Canis lupus familiaris: one gene and its partner. The protein of the gene in region 1 interacts with the protein of each later gene in a biochemical or structural test. Links are inferred from orthologs where the notes say so. Each region holds a gene or a part of one and is shown on either strand. Other genes may lie near its edges.

The links. The genes of interacting proteins can lie anywhere in the genome.
Region 2: the proteins of SIAH1 (region 1) and POU2AF1 form a complex in vitro, tested with the Homo sapiens proteins (2 studies listed by BioGRID). The link is inferred for Canis lupus familiaris from reciprocal best matches to the Homo sapiens genes SIAH1 and POU2AF1.

Annotation. Positions count from the first base shown.
Region 1 is NC_049223.1:65,986,622-65,990,642, forward strand, and holds the start of SIAH1 (E3 ubiquitin-protein ligase SIAH1), read left to right. Parts: upstream 1-1,217; 5' UTR 1,218-1,714; coding exon 1,715-1,805; intron 1,806-4,021. UniProt on the Homo sapiens protein: E3 ubiquitin-protein ligase that mediates ubiquitination and subsequent proteasomal degradation of target proteins.
Region 2 is NC_049226.1:21,705,579-21,709,808, forward strand, and holds the start of POU2AF1 (POU domain class 2-associating factor 1), read left to right. Parts: upstream 1-1,425; 5' UTR 1,426-1,952; coding exon 1,953-1,968; intron 1,969-4,230. UniProt on the Homo sapiens protein: Transcriptional coactivator that specifically associates with either POU2F1/OCT1 or POU2F2/OCT2. It boosts the POU2F1/OCT1 mediated promoter activity and to a lesser extent, that of POU2F2/OCT2. It recognizes the POU domains of POU2F1/OCT1 and POU2F2/OCT2.

The DNA of each region.
Region 1 (4,021 bases):
GTTAATGGTTTTCAGAGACTCTGTAGGGCTCTGTAACCTCTTTCGGAAGTTTGGGAAAAGTGATCCCCCCTCCCCCCCATCATTCCTTCTCTTTGACTTGTTTTATACATTTAGGTTCAGTTTTAACTCTGGAAAGGCAGGGATGCCTAAAACATTTGAAGTCGTCTGCCCTATCAGCCTGAGACCGCTCTAGGGTGAATGTATTAGGAAATGAAAATGTAGGTAATAATAATTTATATTTGTCAGTGAGCAGACTTTATCTAACTTCATCCATATTTCTATTCCCAATGATGTTTCATGTAGCCTAATATTAACGTGAGGTTGAAATGACTGAATACAATAGGGTCTGGAAGTGATTGGAACTAAAATTTGATTTGGAAAATGGGTAATCTACAATTTACTGCACAGGGTTCATTCCCACCATGAGCTCCTGCTGTGCGTTTAAAGGCTGCCCTATAAGCATGATATAATGACAGGTTAAACCCCTGAGTGTACCACCTGACGCAGGGCAAATCTGAGGCCCAGGACTTTATTGGGGCCCGTGTAATGCTTCTTTAAAAACACAAGCTTCTCTGTTTAATGAGGCCATTTAAGATGGTTTTCCCAGACTGGGAAGAGAATATAATCTCAGTTTGGAGGTTGAAGGAGTTTAATAGAGTTACGGGTGTTTACTACTCTCACTGCAATCTATTCGAAGGAAGAGAAGGAGTTTCAAGTATGATGTCACCAGGGATAGAAGTGGAGGAGTGAGTTAGAATTGAGGAAATCGGGTCGTTGACGCCCAGTATATAGTGAACGAAGTGGGGAGAGTGCTTTTACTCTATGAGCACAGTTCACACATGGTTAACCAGGAGAAGAGCACTTTTCTGGCCACGTAATTCTCATATACTCTATGTAGGTCTTAGGTTGAAATCATACAGAATTGGCAGCATCTGTTTTCTACAGAAAGACATGTTTCGAACTAAATGTAAGCTTGTGGAAATGGGTGAGGTTGCAGTGTTGCCTGGGGTCGAGGGCAGGGTCTGGGTTGTGCGGGGCAGCGCCCCAGCGGCCCTGGGCTGGGGGGCGGGGCTTGCGGGCGTGACCACCGCGCCGGCCCCGCCCCGCCCCGCCCTGTCCGGCCCCGCAGGCCCCGCCGGCCCCGCCCCGCGCTCGCTGCGGCTGGGCTGGGCTGGGCTGGGCTGGGCGCTGCGAGCGGAGGCCGGCGGGCGCTGCGGGCTGGAGCAGGCTCCCCCAGCACCGCCAGGCCCAGCCCTGGGCCCCGCGTGGCTCTCCGGCGGGCCGGACCCTGCGGCAGCTCCGAGCTGGCTCCGGGGTGCGCCTGACCAGCCCCCGCGCACCCTGCAGCCCCATCCTTCACCCACGCTGGCGGGCTAGTGAATGTGGGGAAGACAAACTTCCAGGGCAGGCGGTTGAGGGCCCAGCGGAGGACAGCTCCGGTGATGGCGCCCATTTTTGGAAACGCAGGCGAATTGGAGCTCGCGGGGAGGTGTGGTGGACTCCTGAGGGGACGGGAGAGGCTTCGTTCCTCTGCTGCTGCGGCAGCCGGTGCTTCGGAGGAGTGAATGGGGGATCCTAGAGCAGGGCGCTTACCTTCGCTGCTTGAAGACTTGAACTCCGACGTGCTTAGGAGCAGAACGTGTCCATCCAGCAGGGCCTCTGTTACAAATCGTGTTTGCTCCTGGGGGAAGGGCTATGAGCCGCCTGACTTCTCATGACCGGGAAGTCTCCCTTACCTTTTCCGTACTCCTGGAGGGGCGTCTTGCTCACATGTCTGCCAGCAGCTGGGACAAGGAAGAGAAAAGGTATTGACACCAAGAGACTGGGATGCTTAAAGTATGAACCGGGAAAAGTTGTGAGCTGGGGGAATCGGGATCAGGGAGTGGCTGCAATGTAATTGAGCTCTAGTTTGCATTGCTGTTTCTTTTGATCTACTGTACTTTTCTCTGTTTAAACCAAGCTTCAGGTTACGTCATCACTCCTGCAGGGTTGTCTGAAGACACTTGAGTCCGTGGTTCCTACTGCAGGGCTGCTCTGTGGTTGGGGTTCTTTTTGTTTGAAGATGGAGCTGGGTTCCACCTTTGGTGCTTTGGGAGGTTTTAGCACCTTCTGTCCTGTAATACCTCCATTCGCAAGAAATACCGGCCTCATTTCACTTGTTTTCACTCTTTAGAGATTTAAACTGTTTTTTTGTTTTTTGTTTTTTGTTTTTTTTACAATGTTTGCAAAAGTAATAAAGATAATATTGGAATGTAAGCCTGAATGATTGATGATTATGTATAGTTATTTGCTCGGTCTGGAAATGAAACGATAGTATTTTTCTTGCTTATATTTTCCTAGTTCTATTATTTTGAATACAAGCCGAGTTTACTGTTCCTTGATGTGATTAGCTTGTTTGGTTTAGTAATTTGAAAAGGCATCAGTGGTTTAGACTGTTTTGTGTGCAGGGAGCCACTTTCCAATTCTAACATTGCTCACATAAGTGAGCAGTATAAAATGGACCACGAGACAGGCATACAGCATATACGTGGGGCATTTTGGCAAGGCTGAGCCCGTTGTTTCCAAGTGGTAGAAAATGCATGGATCATCGTACTCACAAAGAATCAAACACCTGGGTTGTACAGTGTTTCAGGTGATGAGAATTGATTCCCGTTGTCCCTTAAGTCCATGTGACAAGCCACCTTATGGTGGAATTCTGTACTTTTGTAGACTCTTGAATTGTAGAATATTAACTTTAGTTGACAGTGGACTATTTTTTTTGTCACCTTCAACCCTCACTTGGTGTCTATCCTTGAGTAATCTAGAAGTCCAGTTGCTTTTATATAGTCACATGGGTAACCAGCGTTGTTTTCTTAAAGTCAGGTTCTTTGCAGCAATAATGATTACATTGAGGAAGCATTAAATTTGAGGCATTCAGTTTTAGTTTTGTTAGAAATATGGTTTGTATAGTTGTTGGGAATACAGTCTTGGGACATCAGTAGACTGATCTTTTGTTATCCCTGAGACAAATATGGCCTGTCATATCCTAACAAAGTAGATTCCTGGGAAAGGTATTTATTTGCTTTATCTTTCATTTAGCCTGACAAACTAGTTACATTGTTGTCGTTTCTTCCAGATGACATTTATCTCAAATAATATTTATTCCTGTGCTGATGAATGCTTCAGCAACACTAGTGAACCCTAGGATACAAGGAATTCTTAACCTGTTTACTGTCCCCAATGTTGCATGTGTCTCTGGTGTTTTAATCTTTATTCTTTAATTACTTCTTTTCTTCCCCTTTTCAAATTATATGTAATTTTATTGTGCAATGGAAATAGAGTAGAAAGATGTACTTTCTCTGAGTACCTAAAAACTTTTGAGATTACCCTCCATTTCTCTTCTCTTTCTCCCACCTTTATTATGGGGCCTACTGATCAGTAGGAAGTAAGATTAATTAACACGTAGCTGGTGTTCAGATTCTAGGGGAAGACTTAATAGATGAAGGTGCATGATGGGATGGCAGCAGATCCTTCCCCTGACGACCCCTCCATCCCTAAATCTACAACTGAAGCAGATAACTGTTTGCCATTAGGCGGAGTTAATCAGAGCTGATGTCCTGGGTGATCCTTTGGATTACTTGTGACTGACTCCCTGTCACTGTTTCGAGCTGCCTTAGAATGGAAAAGAAATGGACTGAGCAGGGCAATTGAACACCGAGGGAGAGGGGAAAGTTCAGTGAAAACAGCTTTGGTTGAACTTAAGCTACTTAACACAGGGTTTCTTAGTTGTTTACAGTCTGGTTTCTGTTTCAGCATTTATTCCATATTGTATAATTCATCCAAAGGGATTTTTTAATATTTTTTTAAGAAAGGGAATTCTACATGTGTTTTGGGACATTTTGATAAAAGAGATTTTATCTGGTCCACAACTCCTATAATACTCAAAATGCATAATTCGTGTAATTTGTGTTTTTTTTTTTTTTTAAATCCTTTACTCTTTTTGCTCACAGTATGTTTTTCATAAAACTTAAGTATTTCTGGC
Region 2 (4,230 bases), on another chromosome or scaffold:
TATATGGTCATTGATATCCAAGTCTTTGCTGGAAGCACTGAGCTGAGCTGGAATCTGCTTCCCGAGCTTCAATGCTGTCAGAGGTAGCAGGGCTTAGAGATAGGCATGATGGTGGGCTTACCTACCGACATTTTTTGTTTTTACCTGCTGTTGTATAAGATTTGATTTGTCAGCTCACCTCTAGCTTGTCTTCTTCCTTCCTTCTTGGAGAGGGGACTATTATCCCAGGTCTTCCATTGATCTGTTCTAGCTTTTAAACATGGCTGTCATTTGGCTTTCATTGACTTCAACTTAACGAGTATCTGTCAGTGTGATTATTTAAAATTCTGACTCTAGTAAGATGGGCTTGGGTCTGACAACCAGCCTATCACCTAATAGCCCTGTGACACTGAGCCAATTAAACTTCCTCAGCATCTGTTTCTCTGAGACATATGGATAGAAGTTTCCTCACCGAGTTGTGGTAACTTGATCAGATAATGTAGTTTTAAGACTTAACCTAGAGCTTGGTGCCTAGGAAGTAGTTGTTATTATGAGTGCTTCATGGAAATCATTATGCTAGGCTGTGAGAAGAGGCCAAGATAAATAAGAAAAAGTTCTTAATTTCATAGAACTTGGAGAAATAGGACAAAACTCAGAGCAGTGTGAGGTAGGACCAGTGAGGTCACATAGCCTCCTAAGAACCCTGTGAGACAGTCAGAGGACTGCTTCTTCATTTTATAAACAAGGAAATGGAGATTCAGAATTATCTGACTTGGTGAAGACACAGCCAGTGAGTGGCACAGCCTTGCTGGGACCTCACCTCTCTCTAGACTGAGCCAGGCCAGATGGATGTGCCTCAGTTTCCAGTGGAAAGAGTTGTGTCAGATGGCTCTGGGGCAGTGTGGGAGGCAGAGCTGCAAGGCCCCGGACCTGCCCTAAGGGGCTGTAGTCAGGGAGTCTTGACCCCAGTGATTGGGTCACTGGGGCCTGAACATGTGGCATCAGATACATGGTGGCAGGGGGCTTCCAAACTGGGAGGGAGTCCACGGCCTAACCCGCATATGCTGTGAGGTGGTGAGCCTCACTACGTTTCCTTTGAGAAGCTTCATGCTAATAGGTGGGTGAGTACTAGGAAGGAGGCCTTGTTCATATTATATGGTTAAAGAGCATGGGCATCTTCTCTTCCCTTCCCTGGGTGAGTTGGCCTCTTTCTCCATGGGCATATGGACCATTGGAACCAGCGTGCCCCATATTTAAGCGTGATTAAGCCTCGCAATTTTGGTAATGGCTGGTGGGCCAGGGAGGGGCTATTGTGTTTCAAAATGGAATAAACAGAAAAGCAGTATTAAAAGAATGAAGAGGTTGTTTAGTGAGGCTTGAAGAGACTACAGGTGTTTCCTCCTGTGTTGAGAACCAGTGGCCCCTGGGAATTGCATTTCCCGTTGAGCAGGGCCCATGGCGGACTGAGTCCTGCTGCCATGCCTGTGGTATAGAAACCTGAATGGGCACCGTAGAATATCCAGAGTCTTCCAGGGGTCTTTGAGACTCACCCTGGGTGTGTGGGGATCCAAGACCCGACACGCGTGCTCGCACAGCTCACTCTCACAGCCGCGTTCCCACTCACCACAGTACCGGCCTGCAGTGTGGGGCAGCCTCTGGAGGACCACGGCCCCCTGTGTGGTGGTGGCGTTCAGATCCGGCTGGCTGGCTCTGTGAGCCAGTGGTGGGCCTCCGAGGGCGCACACAGTGGGGAGACAGGCAGCCTGGCCTGAGGAAAAAGTGCGCCCGTGCCTGAGGTGGGAGGATGTGATGACGCGGTGCCCCCGCGCAGCGGGAACTCAGGCCTTTAAAAAGCTGAGGAAACAGCCTCTGAGCAAGCAGTGGCTCCCCTGGAGGAAAGCACACCCGGGTCTCACATTCAAGAAGCCAAACTGTCTGCTTCAAAGAGAAAAGGCAACATCCTGTCACAGGCCATGCTCTGGCAAAAACGTAAGTGGTTTGACCGTGGCTGTCAGAGCCATGTCAGCACAGGTAGGGGCCGGGAGCCACCAGCCAGCCCGGGACTGAGAGGATGTGGTCGTGCTGGAGGCACCAGGGCTCTCTGGGTCCCCCACCCAGGGCAGCGCAGGGGTGAAGTGGGTGAGGGAGCCCAGTGGCAAAACCAACCTGTCAGAGGTGATGCTCATTTTCCAGGCTAGTGTTCCAAGGTGGGACAGCTCATCGCGTCTCCGCTCTGAGGCATGAATCACTGTGGTGAGGAGAGGCCAGTTCATGATTCACAAAACGAAAAGCCAAATGTGACATTGGTTTGGGGCTGAGAGGGGAAGGCCATGGGGTCCTTTACACGCGTGGCTTTATTTTTCACAAAGAGCTGCTCTTCAGCTGGTGGTTCAATTCCCTGGGCCTGTTCCTCTCTGAGTTACTTAGGTTTCTGCTGAAGGTGTCATCTGTTTCTGTGAGTGCACGGGGACAACGTGGAACCTTGGCTTTGTTGGGCAGCTCTTTGCTCGCTCCACTGTCCTGCCTCTTGGCATTCTTCCTGGCGCTCTGTGGCAAGCCTTGTGGGTCCCCCGTGCAGGGGGTCAGCGGGTTTATCTTTAACCTTAGTGTTTATCCCTGGGGTTGGATGGAACAACCGTGAACTTTATTTTCCATTATGTGGGATCAAACAGAGACTTGTGTTATTAATAATTGAAATCATACAGAGAGTATCTACAACATTCCCTTCTTGAAATAACAAAGCCAACTCAACAGCCTCCTGACAGTTGAACATTTTGGGGGCTCATTTATGTACTTCCTCAAGGAAGAAATATTACCAAAAAATTGCTCTGCCTTTTCAAAAGTGCTTAGGTCTTTAAAATGCCTTTTGATGAATTTATATACACCCTACTTCAAGCAAACTTAATATAAGAGAATCAAGATTTACAGAAAAGATAAATTGGGGAGTGTTTGTTTATTTTACAAAAAGATATTTTCTTGGAGGCCTTAAAGTTCTGAAAATATACTTTCATTGATTAAAACATAACTTACAGTTACTTTATCACCAACTCATTGTTTCCTTTATTTCTTGTGTAAATTCTCTGGAATTGAGCTTGTTAATATATAATTCGGAGGAGAGATTTCAAAATTTGCCAGATTGTGAAGTCTCATTGTTTGATACTGGCAAGATGCATTTTTTTTTTTTAAATAAAAAGAGATGAACTTTAATTTGGACTTGAGAGCTATGGAGTCCTTCCAAGATCATTAGAGGTATGCTAATAGGGGTGCTGTGCATAGAATCCTGAAGGGTAGAGCAGTAGTAGTTATTGCTGAGGGCAGGTGGGTGCTAAGGTCTTTACTGGAAGCTGCTGAGTGTCCAAATGACCTTACACTTAGAAGGCTGAATTGGTGGGTTTTATGTGAGCTCTTGAGGAACTTTTGCCTTGGTTCCTACCCATTCAAAGCAAGTAATTTTCCTTTTTATTTTTATTTTCTTAAATCTTTAGGTTTCTCATATGTAAAATGGGGCAAAAATAATACCCATTACTCAGAGCTACCCTTATCTTGGTAAGCTAAGATGCCACTGAAATGATGCTGGTTGCTTTGGTTTTGCTCAATATCTGTGATATGGGTTGCTTCCTTGCATTCATGGGCTGCCATATTCCCTACTCTTGAGTATACACTACATTTTTCCTTCCTTAATTCCTCTTAAGAGATGAGCATTTTTTTTTTTTTGTTTTGTTTTTTTTTCCCGAAGGAGATGGTGGAGGCATGTTTCTTGCTCACACTCTGGATGTCAGTCAGGTCCAACAAAACTCCATTTTAGGGAGACCACAATGTAAGCTGGTCAGTGGAATAACTGGAGTGAATGGTTCTACATGTTCATATGTACACAGTCAAGATTCTCTTTACTTGTCCTTCAGCACCCTAAAGGAAATTAGGAAAAGACCTGGGCACTGGACCCATCCCCTTACCCAGGATCCGAATAAAACCCTTGTCCAGGGCACTGAGGGCACCTGGGGGACTAGACCCTGTGGGAAAACCAGTAAAAACAGGGCAGCTTTGTCAGCCCACTTTGAATCACCTGATGGAAGGGCAGAGTTTGAAATCAGACATGAAGAGTGCTGAAAAGGCACTTTCTTTTTTCAGAAAACACCCTCGGGCCATGATCTGAAATGACTGTACTATGGCGTTCTGGAAAGGGTTAAGAAAACATCCACTTTTGTACATGTTGCCTTCTCCCTATCTGGCCCATGATCCCTGTGTGGGGAC